Callithrix jacchus: one gene and its partners. The protein of the gene in region 4 binds, or shares a complex with, the protein of the main gene of each other region. Links are inferred from orthologs where the notes say so. Each region holds a gene or a part of one and is shown on either strand. Other genes may lie near its edges.

Region 1 (4,790 bases), on a different chromosome or scaffold from region 4:
GTCCATCAGCTCAGACTCTTCTATCCCACTTCAGGATCTCCTGCCCAAATGCTCTGGGTTTGCTGGGCTTCTGTTCCTTCACCTCAGGGTTGATTGGGACACAGGTGTGCCCGCCACGGCCCACGGTGGGGAGCTGTTGGCCAGACTGTGGACTGTGGGTAACACCCCCCCAGAGCCACCAAGGAAGGAGAAATGTGCAGACCCCAGGCACAATTAGTGCCTGAAGTATAACTCGCTGCTTACTTAGTCCCATATAACCTTTCTATATAATCATATACTAATTTACTGCTTACTATATCTAGCTTATATATATAATCATACTTAGTTCCATATAATCTTTCTATATAATCATATAGGTATTGTAGTCAGAGCTGTACTGACACATTAAGGGCTGATTTATAGAATCCTTCTATATAACCATATAGTAGTTTATAGTAGAAGGAATGCCTACAGCAGTCACAGAACAGAAGCAGTACATGGGAAAACAGCCAGACCAGGACAAGAACCAAAGACCCAGGTGGCGTCCCTGCCTCAAAGGTCATACGCTGTATGGCAGGCTTGGAGCAAGAGCCTCTCCTCCTGATAAAGGAGTTGTAGCACCTTGCATCCAGTTCCTGTGGAAAGTAGGCCTCTGGCCTGAGATCCTGCAAATAATCGAGGGAGAAGAACCCCTCTGATGTGACTAGTCACAATGGCTGTACACCCCGTCAGCCTTTTCTCGCTTCTGTGTTAGCTCAAATCAGCCTCCCATAAATATCTTAAGAGAAGAGCACAAGTCTGTCAGCTCCCACTGCATTGGCTTACAGTATCTTACTATTAGAAATCCTTTGACTCTCCAGCCCCCAGATAAGAAGTGCCGCCACAACACCTGTTGCACACAGCCCACCTCCTTGCCACGGTAACCTAATGGGGGTGGACCCCTTTTCTGTACATGACCCTCTACTACTGCGCACGGCCCACCTCTCTGCCCAGATGACATAATGGGGTGGTCCTCTCGCTTGCGACTCACGTGATTATGTAGGCCCTATCACTAAGCCTATAGATAATGACCTAATTTACGACCCTTCCCCCTGCTTGTACCTAATAAATACAGACGCTTCTAAGCGTTCCGGCCTTCGCCTGCCTCCCCTCATAGGTGGCATGGCCCCATGAGTCCAGATACTCTTCACCAGTTCTTCAGTGTCCTGTCTCTTTACTTCTTGGATCCTGCACTTCAGCACAACATAAGGGACACCTCACAACCCTGTGGGGCCCAACAGCCCTACAGTGGACAAAGCTTGTACCTAGAGCTGGATCTCCTCGTGTGCAGGTGGGAGGCTCTCCAGATGGTTCTTCGCCAGCGGCCACATTTAGTTGGGGGTCAAGCAGTTCCGATCAGAGAATTCTAAATTTGAACTTGGTCTTTCAGGTTTTGGGAAGATGTGTTTGTCACGGTAGGAGAGAGAGAGAGACTATTCTCTCTGTAGACGGTGCTGAGCGGGAAGAAAGCCCACGGGAAGCTTAGACTGAAGCTGCAGGACCCTTTGGCTCCTCGGCCTCTGGACCTACAAAACCCAGAGTGGCGGCGAGCGCTGAGCCAATCAGGTGCTGCGCCTCGGCCGGCCGTGCGGGGGGTGTGGCACCGTGTAAGCGGAAACCACGCCTCTCTACGCGGGGGGCGGGGCACGTGTCTCGCGCACCTTGGGCAGTGCCCGGCGGAACCACGCCTTTTCCGCTAGCCGCGCGGCCTGGGCTTCCCTCGTGTTTAAAAGAGCTCTTGTGGCTGCTGCTATCTTAACTCCTGTGCTTGGAGGCCAGACAGTCGAGATGGCGGCAGAGGTGTTGCCGAGTGCGAAGTGGCTGTATTGTGGGGCGCCCGCTGGAAGCCAGAGAGCTGTACTGGGTAAAGACGGCGGATCTGGAGCAGAGCTCCTCTAACCCTCTCCCCTTTCGTCTCGGTGCCTCAGCTGCCCTCTCGCCCTCTGTTGGGCCCCTCCCAGCGGGGCCAGGACCCCACTAGTCTCCACCATTCTCTTGGGCTCGGTCAGGGCTCCCCTCTGAAACTGCCGTCTTTCTGTCACTACCTCCCACCGGATAGGAATATCCCAGGCACCCGCTCTCCAGGACTGTGTCCAGGACCCTGCTGTCCCCTCACCCACCAGGTCTCCCACCTCCCCCATTTCCCTCTCTTCACTGGGCAGGGGTTCTTTCTGTCACTTTAGGTGTGGACCAGGCCTTTGCTGCCAGGCTCCCTCGCCCAGACATTCATTCCCTCTTGTCACAGCCCCTCCCCAGGGTTCTCACACCTCCCTACCCTCTCTTCTCAGCTGGCCCGGATCTCCTCCATTTCCCTTGAGGTCAGGACCCAAGCTTCCTTGCCATCCCCATTCCGACACTCCCTCCCTCCCAGTGACAGTCTAGTCCCGCCATACATTATGTGTTCTTCTGCTCTCATCTTATTCTTGGGCTACACTCTTACAGTCCAGTTCTCCAACGGGAGGCTGCAGAGTCCAGGCAACATGCGCTTTACCTTGTATGAGAACAAAGATTCCACCAACCCCAGGAAGAGGAATCAACGGATCCTGGTAAGTGCATTAGTTGCCAGGTGCCTCCACCCTGGGAGTGTGTGGATATGGGAAGGAGTGAGGGGAGGAAAAAGGGAGTAGCAAAAGGACCTTTGAAGAACTCTGATGCCCAGCAACTTGGGATGTGGGGACAAACTCCATCTTTCATTCATTCATTTGTTCTTTCAACAAGCATTTATGGAACCCCCTCCGTTCCCTGTGCTGCAAGCTTCTAGGGAAACAGCCAAATCAGGCCTGGCCCCACTCGGAGGAAGTTCGTACTCTAGAGCAGGGTTTCTCAACCTCAGGACTATTGACATTTTGGGCCAATAATTGTTCATTGTGGGGACAGTATCCCTGGTCTCTACGCACTAGCACTAGAGTGGATTTCCCTGGATTGAGAAGCTCAGCTCTAGAGAGATGAGAACTGGCTGTGAGAGACACTTTTACACAAAGCTCTGAGGCCACGTGGGAAGAGTACAGAGCAGAGTGAGCTCAGTGGGAGGAGAGGTCTCTGCCAGAATGCCTTCCTTGGGGAGGGCATGTTGGAGCTGAACCTCGAAGAACGAAATGAGAATTTGGCGGTCAAGGTTTGATGTTCCAAGTGGAAAGTATAGTGAGGATAAATGCAGAGAAGCAGGAAAGCTTGCTTATGATTGGGAAGTGAGTCAGCCATGGTCTTGAGTGTATATAAAGAATAGTCATGGGAGAGATGGGCAAAGAAGATCAAAAAGGGCTTGGACTTTGGGCCAAAGAGAGATTGCTGACAGAATCACTTTGTTGCATACCTCTAAGTGCTAGAAGCCCAGGGCCTCTCTCTCAAGTCCTGTGGTAGAATTCCCCCAAGAGCTTTTCATACCATTTAGAAGCTAGCAATATCTGAGGCTTCTCTTTCAAAAGTCATCTTGCTTTCCCTCCAGGGACATCCCGTATTGCCTTAGAGATAGTGGGGCTGGATCATCTGCCAGAGATGAACTAGTTCTAATCCATTGTGGGTCTGGATTCTAAAGCTTCAGCAAATGTAGAAAAGAGAGATGATGCTTAATACCTTTCAACATTGGTTGTAAATGGAGTTTCCCCTCTCTGCATTATAGGCAGCTGAAACAGATAGGCTTTCCTATGTGGGAAACAATTTTGGGACTGGAGCCCTCAAATGCAACACTTTGTGCAGGTAATGGCAGGGGAAGGGACAGTGGGAAGGGAGTGGTGGCAGCATTGGCACTGCTGTTTCCAGTCTGTTTTAGGGGCAGTAGAAGAAATCTAGAGAGGTTTACTAGATGATCCCTGTGTTCTTCGTAGACCCAGAGCCTTCCCCTCCCAGCCTATAGACATTACTATAAAGAAAAGAGAACTTAAATTTCCTAAAAACCTCATTCATTTGTAACCTTGTTTATTTATAGCTGTCTTATTCCAAAAGGCAGCTCTCTCCATTAATTTGGAATGTGTGACTAGGTCAAAGCTTGTGTGAAGTTTACCTGGGAACTAATGACAGGTAAAGAACTTGGTAGTGTTGAAGGATCTGGGCTGGGAAAGAGGAACCTGGGATTCCTGTCCAGCTGTGCTGCTGATTGACTGAGTGGCTGGGCAACTCTGCCCATCACTAACCCCTAGTCTTCTCCTCTGTACAATGAAGATTGTCCAGCCAGAACTGTGTAACTCTCGGGTGCTGGCGTGATGAAGACAGGGCCCCGTGATGGCACCCAGCGATGAAACACAAACCAGGCCCTTTCAGAGCCCTGCTAAACCATACTCCAGTAGAGGTCAGATTGGTGTATACATGCTCTGAACTATAACCTGCACTCTCCCCTCTCAAAGATGCTCTAGTTCGGATTGATCTCCTCCGCATTTACTTGGTTTTGCCACCGTAAAACTGGTGTGCCATAAATTCTAGTGTAATTCTAGATTCCTACACCCCAAAAGAGCTTTTCATTATTGTACAGCAGCAAGCCCAAATGTGATCAACTACCAGAATTACCTGGTAGCTTTTTTTTTTCCCCCAGGACTACCTCATGTCCCCCGATCCCATCCCATCCCATCCTTTCCTTTTCCCTCTCCCTGCAGAGAATTGCTTTGGGATAGAGGGAAGGGGAGATTATTGTTACCCATGAGTAGGTGATACATTCCTCAGGTGTGCGGGCAGAGAGAAGGTTGACAACTTTTAAACAGGAAAAGGGCTAGGCGCAGTGGCTCACACCTGTAATCCCAGCACTCCTGACCTGAGGTCAGGAGTTCGAGACCAGCCTGGCT
Region 2 (4,583 bases), on a different chromosome or scaffold from region 4:
GAGAAGGCTCCTCACCTGCTTCGCACCTGGGCAGGCTCCACATCAAAGTAGGGTCTCAGGATGTCGATGTTGGCATACAAGCTGAAGGCCCTGGAGGCTTGTCTCTTCCCAGCCTGCCACATCTGAAGGAAGATGGGCATAGGTATTGTGGAACTCTTGGCATTAGACCCTGTTGCCTATTTTCCATTTGATTTCTACCAGGACAACCTGGGGCGACACACCAATACCAACTCCAGGACATGGGACACACCTAGGTTTACTTTTCCACCTGCAGGGGATTCCATCTTGCTTACCTGATCAGCCACCTGCCGGCTCAGCTGTCCCTTAAAGCCCTTCATGCCCAGGAACTCTCCATCCTCTTCTTCAGCAGCAGCCGCATCAGCGTCTGCATCAGCGTCTACTTCTTCCTCGCGCAGGCGCTGATGCAGTTCACCCATATCCTCGAAGCTAGAGCCTGAGGTATCATCCATGTTCTCCATGTCAATCACAGCTGAGCCTCCGCCCTGTTAAGACAATGGCTCCTAGAGTGCAGGACTTTTCTGTTCCATCCATTAAGTCCTCTGCTCATCCCAGGGCTTAGGGCTTTGTTCTTCCACTGCTGAGGATACGGCTTGGAATCACTACAGATCATGCCACTCCATTCCCCCTCATTTGCTCTCAGAACGCTTGATTTATAGCTTTGGCTATCTTTTCTAGCCTGGGAAACCAACTAGTCTTCCATTCATGTCTTTCTCCTACCTTACCTATCAAAGACTAAAAGCTTGAAAAAGAATCCATTTCTGTCTTTCCAAAGCCCCAAACAAAACTATGAACACAGTATGTTTTCGGCGAGTGCCAGTGAATCCCACCCAACCCCACTCCAGGCCTGACCCCAACCAACCTCCTAACTTGTTCCAAGAATACGTTCTTCCTAACGCCTCGGGCGGGCCCAGAGACCCGAGATCCTCAGGCTGGAGTAGTAGACTAGTCTGGCCCTTTCAGGTCAATGTTAACTCCACTGACTTTTGTGTGCAAGACCCAAAGAAGGCAGTTTTGCAAATGGAGTGAACTTCCAGGCCCCGAGGGAGAATCCCCAAGACACTTCTGGACATCGCCGGCCCTCGGGTTGCTGGCATCTGGTGCCTTGGGGCCATTACCTGGATGTTTTCTTCGAACCCTCCCCATTCCGGGCCAGCTCCGTTTCGGGCGCCGCCCGTCGGCGCCGCTGTAGTTGCCATGCCCTTTGAGGGCTCCCGTCGCTGAAGCCCGCGATAGCCCCGCGCGCAGGGAAGTGTGCGAGATGTGAGTCCCAAGAAGGGAGAGGTCCCAGGTCGCGGAGAGGTGGGATCAGCCGGAACACAAAAAGGAGAAACCCGGATGTTTGGACAAAACCAACTTCCGGAAATTGGGGACGTGGATGAAGGTGGAGCAAAGTCTCGCGATATTTAAGATTCCAGGAGGCGGTGCGTTGCCACGGAGATGGAGCAGTGCTGCTAGAACGCACGCGCCAGCTAGAGCCTGTAGTCTTTTGGAGAGATTGAACATGGCGGCTACTCAGGCCGTGGAAGAAATGCGGAGCCGCGTGGTTCTAGGAGAGTTTGGGGTTCGCAATGTAAGACTTGTGTCCTTGAGCTCAGGCGGGAGGAATGAGAGCGGAACAGGGATGGGTCTTGGGATTGGCGTGGGGATAGCCGTAGGCTCACTGTCCATTTGTGGACAAACTCATCCCTTTGCTCTAGGTCCATACCACTGACTTTCCCGGTAACTATTCCGGTTATGATGATGCCTGGGACCAGGAACGCTTCGAGAAGGTCAGTGGGGCCAGAGTTGTCCGGGGATTGTTAGGAGGGCCAGACCCTGTGGTCTCAGCAGCATGTGTCTGTCTCAGTAGCTGCTCTTGGGGGTCGCTCCGTTTGTAAGTTTTGTTGAGCAATGTGGTAGACCTCCGTTTACAGGCCAAGTTAGACACAGTTTCTACCCAGTTCTGCAAACAAGATGTTCAGTCTTGTTGAGGAATGGTGCGTATAAACAAGTGAATCTAGTTTAATATGGTAAAGGTGGTTGATAGCTGTGAAGATGGCAGGATTCGTGTGGGGAACATTATGCTGAGACCAGGAAGAGGGGCCCAGAGGTACTTAACATTTCTTGAGGAGGGAAGATCTGAATTGAGCTTTGAACGGTAAGTAAAGAACAGGAGTTAAATTAGGAAGGCTTTGAGTTTCAGGTCAGTGAAGTTGAGGATATACAGGTTTTGTGTGTATTTAGTCTATTATTGTTTCACTTAGCTTAAAATAAGGATTAAAATTGCATTTAAATAGATCACTGAATGTTACTGTTTATGCAACTGAACTGTGTGTGCAGTTTATAAAACATGATCTATAAATCTGTGCTTGGGAAAATTTTACTTTTTTTAACCTGTTGATACAGGAATAAAGTATGAACAATGAAAAAGGCTAATGCTTGAAAAAAAGTTATGGTGTGAATTGTGCTCCGGGAATGTCCAAGCAGTTCTGGCACTAGTGGTAGGCAAGATTGAAGTGTGTCTTGGGCACTGTTGATGATAGGGAGCTTGAATAGTTAAGCAGACATGATTAGATTTGCAACCCTGATAGCTGGGAGGGAATGAGTTTGAAGAGGATCGTATGGAGCAGGCAGATCTGTTGTAAGGGAAGCTGAGGTTGAAGGTATGAACTAAGACTGACGGTAGAAAGAGAGCAAAGGAAGAAAGAAGGTAAATTTGTGATTGCTTTGGTAAAGGCTGTTGGGGTAGCATAAAATGACTTTTTGACTTGGGAACTGCTTTGATGCATTGTGGTATCATTTACTGAGAGAAGAAATGGGTCTGGGGAAGAGGAATGATGATACGTCGTTTCCTGCATTTGGAGAAATCTAGCAGGCTAGAAGACTGCATATTTGAAATGAGATCAGAAGGGAGGTAAAATTTTGGGAGGTGTCAGCACAGATAGTTGCTAAAACCGTTGTTAGTGTGGTTAAGGTCACCTGGGAGAGAGACCAGAACCTGGTAGATTTAGAGATGGGTGGACGTTGTTGATCATCAGAGAAGGAAGAATGGAGCTCAGAAGCCAGGAGAATAGTTCAAAAAAGGAGGGGATTTTTTTTTTTTTTTTTTGAGATGGAGTCTCTGTTGCTCAGGCTGGAGTGCAGTGGCAGGATATCAGCTCACTGCAACCTCTGCCTCTTGGATTCAGGCAGCTCTCCTGTCTCAGCCTCCTGAGTAGCTGGTATTACAGGTGCACACCACCATGGCCGGCTAGTTTTTTGTATTTCTAGTAAAGATGAGGTTTCACCATGCCAGTCTCGAACTCCTGACCTCGTGATCCAACCACCTTGGCCTTCCAAAATGCTGGGATTACAGGCATGAGCCATTGCGCCTTTCCAGGAGGGGATTTTTTTAATCAATGCCAGGCGTAACAGACGTCTAGTAAAAGGACTGTCTAGTGTCAGCATGACTAAGCAGTGAGGTGGGTTTCTGTTCTTAGGACAATAGCTTCTGTGGATGGTTTGGTTGGGAGCCATATTGGATAGGGTTTTAATGAATGGAAGACAAAAAATGGACACTTTTCATGAACCTAAAGCAAGCACTGGACGAGAAAGAACATTTAATAAGGGACGTCTGGGCAAAGGGTGGTTTTTGGATGAGTGGATAATACTTGGAATCATCTGAGGGGGAGGTATGAAGAGCTATTACAAAGAGAGCAGGCTTCACTTAATCTTTTTCCTGTCCCTCTAGAATTTCCGTGTGGATGTGGTACACATGGATGAAAACTCACTGGAGTTTGACATGGTGGGAATTGATGCATCCATTGCCAATGCTTTTCGACGAATTCTGTTAGCTGAGGTATTGGCAGGCATGGTGACAAGGTTGGATTTGCTTTGGGAACTGCACTGACACTTGGAGTGTCACTTGGAGAATTAAGTGTCTCAAGCTGTCCTTCCCTTCTTATTTTTCCTGGAGTTTTGCTGGCTAAGGATTTTACCTTCTCATTCTTTGTAAACTTCTCATTAAACATTCTAGGAAGAGAGATAGCTCCCTACCTCTGGAGGTTGGAGTTTGTGGGGATAGGTAGGGGGTCTATTGGGTTTTTGCTGATAAGTGATTTTTTCCTTGGGCAGGTGCCAACTATGGCTGTGGAGAAGGTCCTGGTGTACAACAACACATCTATTGTTCAGGATGAGATCCTTGCTCACCGTCTGGGGCTCATTCCCATTCATGCTGACCCCCGTCTTTTTGAGTATCGGAACCAAGGTGAGAAAATGAAATTTTGGGAGAAGTGGACTGTCTGGGTTTAAATCCTGGTTGACTGTGACATTGGGTAAGTATATTAGTGTTTTTCATCTGTGAGAACACTTGCCCTCTCTTCCCAAGTTTGCCAAGATAATTAAATGGGAAATATGTAAAGCATTCAGCATAGTGCTGGCACTCAGATATTTACTAGTTCTTAAGAGCTCTCTCCATTGGTGCAGGAGATGAAGAAGGCACAGAGATAGATACTCTACAGTTTCGTCTTCAAGTCAGATGTACTCGGAACCCCCATGCTGCTAAAGATTCCTCTGACCCCAACGAACTGTACATGAACCACAAA
Region 3 (4,887 bases), on a different chromosome or scaffold from region 4:
GTAACTGGTAACTCGATGCCAGCATTTTAACAACAGGCACATTATAAACATGACGCCATTTAGTCCTCACAGCAATTCTGTGAGCTAGGCAGGACCATCTCTAGTTTACTGATGAGGAAACAGGCTGAAGGAGATCAAGCTTACTTAGCAAGTAAGTGGTAGAGCTCAGAAATCAACTCGAGCGGGGTGCCAAAGCCTTTCCATTACACCAAACTCCCTCCCAAGACACAAGACCCACAGAGCGGTCATCTTCTCAGCCTTCAAAAAGCTACAACTCACAAGCATGTAATCACTGTTATAAATACCTGGTTGTTTGAAATTTTTTATCTTTTTTTTTTTTTTGAGACAGGGTCTTGCTCTGTTGCTCAGGCTGGAGTGCAGTAGCATGATCGTGGCTCACTGCAGCCTCAATCTCCCTGGCTCAGGCAATCCTCCCACCTTGGCTTCCCAGGTAGCTGGAACTACAGGCACATGCCACCATGGTCAGCTTTTTTTTTTTTTTGTAGCAGTGAGGTTTCACTATGTTGCTCAGGTTGCTCTTGAACTCCTGGACTCAAGCAATCCTCCTGACTCAGCCTCCCAAAGTGCTTGAATTACATGTGTGAGCCATAGTACCTGGTCTGTTTGAATTCTTAAGTGCAGAAATTTCCTTAAGGTTACTCAGATTCTGCTAATCATTATTTATTCTAGGAATTAAAGAAGAGTCTTTCGTTTTTCTTTTTTTTGGAGACAGAGTCTTGTTCTGTTGCCCAGCCTGGAACTCAGTGGTCCAATCTCTGCTCACTGCAACCTCTGCTTCCTGGGTTCAAGCAATTCTCCTGCCTCAGCCTCCTGAGTAGCTGGGACTATGCAGGTGCCCACCACCATGCCCAATTAATTTTTTGTATTTTAGTAGAGACGCGGTTTCACCATGTTGCCCAGGCTGGTCTCAAACTCCTGACCTCATGATCCACCTCCCAAAGTGCTGGGATTACAGGCATGAACCACTGTGCCCCGCCAGAAGAGTCTTTCTATATCACTTATCTACTTAGTCCTCAGGGCATATTTCAAGTATCACCTTCTCCACTCCCTCACCTGGAAGGCCTGTCATCAGTGGGGTTATATTCACCATCATCCAGGGTGCCATCTTCATACAAGGTACTAGCTATGACCAACCGGAACTTGTCACCTAAAAATAACAGCAATATCAGAGAGTGAAGAATAGCTGAAGCAGCAAATAGCCTCTTATTATTGTCTGTGTTCAATACTTACCCAAGTCTACAGGGTAAATTTGAATGTTTACATCTAAGATGAGATCCATCTTGAAAGATTCACTCTCACAATGTAGCCGAGACACTGGGGAAAAGTGGAAAAAGAGTAAGAGAGGTATTGCCAGGCCCAGGGAAGATCCTACAGTGTGGGATTGTATGCAACAGAATACTCAATCTAACCCAGCCTACATCCACTGGTCTCTCATGTCCTCTAAGGCAGGCTCAGTCAGACCCAGATATGCAAGGAGGAAATCAGGAGAAAAACTGTGGCAAGTGAACGTAATCCCCAGAAAACAACTAAAGATACTCCAGCAGCAAATAATATCCAGGTTCTAGGCCTGCCTGGATGGCTGAGAACCTGACTCTGGGCAAGTTATTGAATCATCCAAAGGTTTCCTCTTTCTGTGCTAGGCACTGTGCTGAGGGGGTTATCAAGATGTATAATGACTGGTATCCATCTTGAAAAACATCTGAGTCTCTAGGCAAAGAAACAGACACCAAAGAGAAAATTATTGATCAATGACAAAATAAAGAAATGGAGACTAGGCGCGGTGGCTCACACCTGTCATCCCAGCACTGTGGGAGGTTAACGCAGGTGGATCACTGGAGGTCAGGAGTTGGAGACCAGCCTGGCCAACATGGTGAAACCCCATCTCTACCAAAAATACAAAAACGAGCTGGGTGTGGTGGCAGGCACCTGTAATCCCAGCTACTTGGGAGGCTGAGGCAAGAGAATTGCTTGAATCCAGAAGGCAGAGGTTGCAGTAAGCCGAGATCACACCATTGCACTCCAGTCAGTGTGAGTGACAAAGTGAGACGCCATCTCAAAAAAAAAAAAAGGAGTCTTCATGAGGTGGGTGGTGCCTTCCCTGTTTTTCTCTGAGAGTTTGAGTAACTCACCCAAGGCTGCACAGCAAGTAATCTAACTTCAGAGTCTATATTCTTGTATCGCTCTCAGAATCTTTAGCGCTTAGTGAAGTCTTTTCTGAGAGTTAACTAGTTAACTGCTTAGCGTATATATATATAATTTTTTTTTTTTTTTTAATGGAGTCTGGCTCTGCCGCCCAGGCTGGAGTGTAGTGGCTCGATCTTGGCTCACCACAACTTTAGCCTCCTGGGTTCAAGCGATTCTCCCGCCTCAGCCTACCGAGTAGCTGGGATTACAGGCGCGCCACCACCACACCCGGCTCATTTTTGTATTTTTAGTAGAGACAGGGTTTCACCATGATGGCCAGGCAGGTCTCGAACTCCTGACCTCAAGTGATCCACCCGCCTCAGCCTCCCAAAGTCCTGGGATTACAGGCGTGAGTCATCGCGCCCGGCCGAGGTCTCTTAAGAATAAGTAAGGCAAAGGGTGTATGAGCCGCACAAGACAGTGTCTAGCACAGAGTAGGCAGCGATTATAAAGATGCTCAGGAGTTTGCCAGCACTATGACAAAAGGCCATCCAGACACCCAGCACGGCATGCGTGAAGCCAGAGAGCTGAGTCTCCGTTTTCTCATTCATAAAGTGTTTCCTGAGGGAGGTCCCTACATCAGGACCTGCTGGTAGGAGCAGGCCACAAGAGCTGGGTGGGCATGGGGCCCAGGGACATGTCCGCGAGGTTAGCGTCTTCCTCCAAACCTCGTACCTTACTTACCTCGGTCAAACTTCTTGCCCTCTGGGTCAATATCCTTCACATCGAAAATATCCTCAAACAGGATGCCCGCCATCGCAAGTGGGCCAGGAGAGCAGCAGAAGGGGTTAACGCGCGACCACGGCTGGGAGTACGCGCACCCCCTCGCGTGGAGAAGGGAGATGAGCAAAAGCACCTCCAGAAAGGCGGCAGCTAGACAAGAGTAGCGCATGCGCACAAACAGGCGGTAACGCGACCACTTCCGCCACAATCTTCCTCTCGGGGCTACCTAACTTCCTCCCCGAAAGACTGTTTCCGAGAGGCTTCGGCATTGAGGGCGGGTCTCACGGCCAGGTGGCTCCGCCCAGGGCGGGGAAACAATAGGTCCAACCTCCCGCGGCTGTAGAGCGGCTTCTGCTACGCTGGGGCTTTACTGCGCGCTCTTCAGAGTCTGAGTCCAGAAGATTGGAATGCGTGGGGGCCTAACCCAGGCAGGGACCTTGATCCTTGGCCCAGAGCGGCCAGGCCCTAGCCCTATCCCGCCGGTCCTCGTGCCCGCCAAGGGCACAGTCCTCGCCGAGGGCAGGTGGAGAAGAACCCCGCCCCAGAGGTGCCCAGCCCCTCCAGGAGACACCAAGGACGCCGGGGCCGGCCTGGGCCGGCTGGGCCCTTCTGGATGTAACCTGAGCCGGATCCGTCCAGTTTGGGAATTTGCCATGACGTCGCTTTGGAGAAATGGAAAGGCTGCATGGTCCCCTCCCCTCATACGGCACCCCACGACACTGCCCTCTTCCCCCAGGCCCTGGTTTTCCCGCGCACCGCCCCTTCAGCCTGGCTCCCGCCCCCTGGGCACTCCCCCTCCAGCTTGGTACTCTGCGTTCCCGTTTACTGGACACGGATCCCCTCCGTACCCCTTCGGCCTAGCACTGCCCTCTCCCTTGAATACCAGCTCTTCCCTCGCACTGGCCCTTCCTCCTGGGTGGCGGCTTCTCTCCCAGGGCCCCCCCCCCTCCCCGGGCACTGCCCCCGCCCCCCGAGCCCCGCCTCTGCCTCCCAAATAGCCCTTCCTTCTGGTACTACTGGCTCTCCCGCACCCTGTCCGCGTCCTGGGCGCCGCCCCCGCTCCTCTCACACTGTCGCTCAGCTGCCCGTCCACCCTGCGCGCGCTCCGCCCTCTTTTCTATCCTTCCCTGGCCCCTGACAGAGAACCCCGAGCACCAGCAGACCGTTCCCCGAAAGCGGAGGGACAGCAGCAGCGACTCGGGTTCCTCCTTGAGCCCAGCCAGGGAGAAGCGACCTCTGCTCTCCACGCCCGCGTTCCGGGCGTGGACTCCCGGCCCGTGGAGCTCCCCTCCTCCGGCCTACCCCTTCCGGGGCCCTCCCAACCTCCACCCCCGCACACCCCGCAGGCCGGGTTGCTCCGGGTGCACCTCCCTGGGGCAGCCCCGGGAAAGGAAGGAGTAAGGAAGACGGCCCCGATCCGCCCCGAATCCTCCCAGCTTTGCTGCTCACCCCTGACAGGCCTGTCAGAGCTGCAAGTCCCTTGGGACGGGGAGAGGGGAAGCGGCTTCTAACCGGCTGACCCGGAGGCGTCCGATGTAGATCACTCAGCACCCCCATCCCTGAGCCCTGCGGAGCTCGGGCATCTGCAGCCCCTCCTGCCCGGACGCAGGGAACCGCCAACCCGGCCCGGCCCCTCCACGTGCCCGCGGACCCGCCCCTGCCCGGCCCCGGGCGCCCCTCTCCTTCCCCGGCCTCCGCAGGGAGCCGGCGCGGGCTCCAGACTGCTCAGCGCCCCCTACCGCCTCTCGGGAGGCCCCGCGCGGACCCCGGCCTGGCTGGGCCGGCCCCTCCGGATGGGCTGGCGGGCGGAGCAGCGCAGAGGGCACCACCCTCGGCCCGCCCGCCGAGGAGGGGACAGGAGCCGGAGGCTGCGCCTGCGGCGCCCGCTCCGGGCCCGCCGCACTCTGCTCTCGGTCTCCCGGGCTGCGGGGACGGGACGGCCGCCGGCGCTGACTCTGC
Region 4 (4,090 bases):
ACATGCAGAAAACAGTACAGCCGGACAGTCACACCATTCCACAAGTGGTACCACGGGCCAAGGGTGGATACGGTACGCACTTACCTTCAGAAACATAAGGAAGAGCTGACCCGGTGTAAGGACTTCTTGGTTCACTAAACTATCAGGATTGTCCTCCATGCACTCTCCTTTGGCTAAAGCAAAGAGCTTTCGTGTCATAAGACAAAGCATATAAAACTTTTCAGTATTGGATTTCAAGTGGATACAGATGCACTGGCTGTCAAAATAGAAAAAAAGAAAGCTTAAAACAATCTAGTTGGTAATACTACTTAATGCTCTATTAACCAAGACCGCTAATTCATGCTTACTTAACTTTAATTAAATAAAATTAAGCATTCAGTTTTTGACCTGCACTGGCCACATTTGAAGTGCTCATCATGCGGCGTGTGTCTGCGTACTGGACAGCACTGGTATGGAGCTGGCTCCTTTAGTAATTACACAGTGGTTATATAAGACAAAGTCCTTGCTTTGAAGAAATAAAGACACAAGGCCTGCAACTTTCAAACAGTACAGAAAGAAAAATGTACATCTGGGTATACAGCAAGTAAAAAAGCAAATGTAAGTTAATGAAATGTTCACAATTTGTGAATATGAGTCCAATGTACTATTTGGACATTATTCTGGATGTCAGAAATGATTTCAAAATAAAAGTTGGGACAATAAAATAAAACACAACTACTAAAAAAATAAAGGTGAGAACAGCCACAAAATCAAAGGCAGCCCCCAGCTAGCAAGGACCAGAATTCTACCCCAAGATCCATTCTCATTCCCAGATGACTCACCCACCCAAACTGCAACGAATACAAAGAACCACTGACAGCCCTCTGCCCCTTCGGAAACAGTTCAGGCAAAGCACACATACTTAAACAGGAACTCCGCAGCTTGCTCATTTGGGTACCAGTCAGGAACATTGAGCTTTACTCTGAAGCATTCACCTAGATAGTTAAGGACCTGTTTCTGTGTGGAACAACCCTCTTCCATTACAATCCTTAACATCTGAGAAACAGAGTTTCTAAAGAAAGAATCATCCTCTTTTCCTTTGATGAGCTCCTGAAAGATCTGATAATCGGAAAAGCTGACAAGTGCCTAGAACAGAAAATAAAAGGTTTTCTTTTTAATTTCTCACTAATAACTAAAATATTTCATCTATTCAGTAACAATTATCTTCTCTTTTTTAATACCCAAGGAAATTAGCACTCTGCTAATGCTGAACCAAAGAAAACTCTAAATAAAGCATTCTTTGTATGATAGACAGACAGCAATATGGCCTCCAGGCTCTTCACCTCTTGGTGTTCATAAACGTGTAGTTTCCTCACATGCTGAATCAAGGCTGGACTGCTTGACCAAGAGAATGTGGTGGAAAAGATGATGGGAGACTCCAGGGCTAGGTCACAAAGGGCATTGCAGCTTTTGCCTTCTGCATCTTCTGCTCTGTTCTCTCAGCTAACTACGTGGAAGAAGACAGCTGTCTCAAACAGCCTATAGAAAGGGCCATATAGACAGCAACCCCATGAGAAGACCACCTGCCAACAACCAGCACTGATTTGCCAACCATGTGAGTGAGCCACCTTGGAAGTCCTCAAAATGACTGCAGTCCTGTCTGACATCTCAATGCAACTTCCTGAGACCCCGGTTCACAGATGTCCAGCCAAAGCACTCTCAAACTCCTGACCCACAGAAACTGTGAGACAGAAATGTTTATTGATGTTTTAAGGTATTGAATTTTGAGGTAATCTGTTTTGGAGCAGTAGATAACTAGTATGTTATTTTAATAAGAAGAATACATCCCATCTGCACAGGATACTACCTTCAATGAATTCTTCATAACAAAAGAATGCATTCATTAAGTCATACCTTAAGTGCAAATCCCAAAGGAAGAAAAAACAGTTCTTTCCGGTAAATAAAGTTCAACATAACAGTGCCATTTTCCAAGTAGTGGAGGTTCATATTGACAGCAGAATGTTCTTCTTTCACACAGTGCATTGAAACTCCTATTGAACCGAACAACAAAAAAATCAGAAACTCAGTGATTCTATAATTGCTTCAATCATTTTTTTCCTGAACAATCTTACCTCCTTACACACAATTAAAGCCAAATCATTAAGTTTAGCCAAGAATGGCAATCAAAAATGTTTCTAAAACTTAGCAAATGTCCTCTTGCATGCAAAATCTACCCAGATTGAGAAACACTACTGTAAAATAACTGAAGCTATGAATTTAAGCAAACTTCAAAGTTTTCCTCCAGGACAGAGTCCACATCTTTTAGCACTTTATATCCCTCTTAAACTGTGGAGTCTGGTCAAGACACGGTGTTTGATCTAATAGTGCCAATGGAGAAAAGTAGAATTTTAGATTTTAAGTTTATTTCAGTTTCAGGCAAAGACTGCTAAGACATACCACTATCAACTCAGGCAAAAGAAAATGACTAGACATTCTGACATGCTCTTTTTCTAGGTACAGTACGTATTACTACAATTAAAATCTGATTTTTAGCTCAACTATCAGGACAAATTGTTTAACTTTCAAGGCAGCTCAAGAATGCAACATGCTATCTTAAGCACTGTCACAGAGAGTGCTCAAACAGAGGCCAGGTGGCTGTCAGACAGAGACCCTGAGGGGTGTGCCACAGTGGCCTGAACCTGAAGACATCTAAGACCCACATTCACCTATGGCCAAGGCAGACTAGCCTTCATCTTCATAAGCAATAACAAAAATACACATGCTCTTTCAGTTTGCACAGGTAAAACATAATAGCAGGTTTTCTACCGTGAAATTTTTGTATTTTTTAAAATGCTTATAATTGATAAAAATCATATATATTCAAAGTGGACAATACCTTGAATATACATATACATGTAATGATTTCCACAATCAAACTGATAAAAACATCAATCACCACCCATAGTTATCATTTGTATGTATGCACGTGTGTGTGGTTGAGACACCTAAAATTTACTCATCAAATTTTAAGTAAGCAATACGGTATTACTGTCGTCACCAGGCTGTACATCAGATCCCCAGAACTTACTCGTCTTGTAACTGCAAGTTTGTATCCTCTGACTAACATCTCTCCATTTCTTCTTCCATCCCCATTACGAAAACTTAACACAGGAATGCTCAGTAGAAAAAAACAAAAAAAAACCCAAAAAACAAAAGAAAGCCCAGGCATGGTGGCTTACACATGTAATCTCAGCACTTTGGCAGGCTGAGGCGGAAGGACTGCTTGAGCCCAAGAGTTCGAGATCAGCCTGGCAACATGGTGAAACTCCATCTCTACAAAATTAGCCAGGCATGGTGGCACATGCCTGTGGTCCCAGCTACTTGGAAGGCTGGGGTGGGAGGATCACCTGAGCCTGTGAAGGTCGAGGCCATGGCGAGTTGTGATCACACCACTCTGCACTCCAGCCTGGGTGCCAGAGTGAGACTCTATCTCAGGAAAAATAAGAAAAGAAAGAAAAAAGAAAATTATCAAAGACTATTTAAATGCATCTACTTAAAAAAAAAAGGTTTTAAATTTTCCTTAAAAAACATTCTAGTAATCTCCAGAACTTACCATACTGAGTATAACCAGGCCCTCTGGTTTTCCATTTTGGTCTTATCATTGCAATGGGAAAATTTCTCCGAGGCATAATCAACATTCGGATGACCTTTTCAATGCCATTGATTATAAAATAGCCCCCCATTTCCTACCAAAGAGATAAATTACAATTTGTTAAACAAAGATACATGACTGTAAACATGAACCTCATTCCTAGCCCAAGGCAGTACAACACACAGAACAGGAGCACAGAGGTGAAAAGTACTACTGATCCTTTGAGAACACAGTACACAGACACTGCCTTTGTGTGAATTAAGTTTTCTCAAGTAGATTACAAAGGTCTGAGGGACATGGAGAAAAGTATGGAAGAAAAACAGGGTACTTCTATTAGACAGGCTCAACCTAACTTGCTTTTCTGTCCCCTAAAATGATTTCAGTCTTCAAATAACACTAAAAAAAACTTACTCCAAAGAGGTGTCAAAAGATAAAAACGGTAACCATTTTGCTTCAATA

Evidence for each region. The genes of interacting proteins can lie anywhere in the genome.
Region 1: the proteins of POLR1B (region 4) and POLR1E are in contact, whole or in part, in a cryo-EM structure (PDB 8A43), measured with the Homo sapiens proteins. The link is inferred for Callithrix jacchus from reciprocal best matches to the Homo sapiens genes POLR1B and POLR1E. Residues at the interface, in NP_061887.2 of Homo sapiens: Lys254, Ser258, Phe259, Ser260, Tyr262, Gln263, Gln266, Ser295, Thr296, Gln297, Ser338, Thr340, Glu341, Ala532, Cys535, Pro541, Ile542, Asp543, Gly544; in NP_071935.1 of Homo sapiens: Gln27, Ser29, Asn30, Gly31, Tyr69, Thr76, Leu79, Lys80, Cys81, Leu84, Cys85, Met109, Gln110, Pro111, Leu112, Phe113.
Region 2: the proteins of POLR1B (region 4) and POLR1C are in contact, whole or in part, in a cryo-EM structure (PDB 7OBA), measured with the Homo sapiens proteins. The link is inferred for Callithrix jacchus from reciprocal best matches to the Homo sapiens genes POLR1B and POLR1C. Residues at the interface, in NP_061887.2 of Homo sapiens: Arg713, Gln715, Lys761, Ala762, Glu765, Arg766, Gly767, His770, Tyr774, Gly816, Val848, Arg872, Pro874, Glu900, Asp901, Phe904, Glu906, Gly908, Lys967, Gly970, Tyr971, Asn972, Phe973, Tyr974, Arg978, Tyr980, Ser981, Gly982, Ile983, Ser984; in NP_976035.1 of Homo sapiens: Ala70, Asn74, Arg77, Arg78, Leu81, Ala82, Gln102, Asp103, Glu104, Ile105, His108, Leu112, Lys220, Asp221, His222, Ala223, Thr230, Ser232, Tyr233, Arg234, Leu235, Asp281, Thr282, Phe283, Ser284, Glu286, Arg289, Arg301.
Region 3: POLR1B (region 4) and POLR2H share a complex: the UniProt entries of both Homo sapiens proteins name them as parts of the pol I pre-initiation complex. The link is inferred for Callithrix jacchus from reciprocal best matches to the Homo sapiens genes POLR1B and POLR2H.

What each region holds. Positions count from the first base shown.
Region 1 is NC_133502.1:144,458,111-144,462,900, forward strand, and holds the start of POLR1E (DNA-directed RNA polymerase I subunit RPA49), read left to right. Parts: upstream 1-1,706; 5' UTR 1,707-1,806; coding exon 1,807-1,882; intron 1,883-2,460; coding exon 2,461-2,564; intron 2,565-3,637; coding exon 3,638-3,714; intron 3,715-4,790. UniProt on the Homo sapiens protein: Component of RNA polymerase I (Pol I), a DNA-dependent RNA polymerase which synthesizes ribosomal RNA precursors using the four ribonucleoside triphosphates as substrates.
Region 2 is NC_133505.1:51,998,443-52,003,025, forward strand, and holds the start of POLR1C (DNA-directed RNA polymerases I and III subunit RPAC1), read left to right. Parts: upstream 1-1,499; 5' UTR 1,500-1,522; coding exon 1,523-1,591; intron 1,592-1,718; coding exon 1,719-1,790; intron 1,791-3,730; coding exon 3,731-3,838; intron 3,839-4,113; coding exon 4,114-4,246; intron 4,247-4,464; coding exon 4,465-4,583. Other genes in the region: protein YIPF3, read right to left, coding at 16-122, 294-503, 1,137-1,217. UniProt on the Homo sapiens protein: DNA-dependent RNA polymerase catalyzes the transcription of DNA into RNA using the four ribonucleoside triphosphates as substrates.
Region 3 is NC_133516.1:13,340,078-13,344,964, reverse strand, and holds the start of POLR2H (DNA-directed RNA polymerases I, II, and III subunit RPABC3), read right to left. Parts: upstream 3,085-4,887; 5' UTR 2,963-3,084; coding exon 2,890-2,962; intron 1,336-2,889; coding exon 1,252-1,335; intron 1,169-1,251; coding exon 1,075-1,168; intron 1-1,074. UniProt on the Homo sapiens protein: DNA-dependent RNA polymerase catalyzes the transcription of DNA into RNA using the four ribonucleoside triphosphates as substrates.
Region 4 is NC_133515.1:22,047,778-22,051,867, forward strand, and holds part of POLR1B (DNA-directed RNA polymerase I subunit RPA2), read right to left. Parts: intron 3,726-4,090; coding exon 3,593-3,725; intron 3,466-3,592; exon of another isoform or gene 3,068-3,465; intron 2,031-3,067; coding exon 1,894-2,030; intron 1,126-1,893; coding exon 902-1,125; intron 257-901; coding exon 85-256; intron 1-84. UniProt on the Homo sapiens protein: Catalytic core component of RNA polymerase I (Pol I), a DNA-dependent RNA polymerase which synthesizes ribosomal RNA precursors using the four ribonucleoside triphosphates as substrates.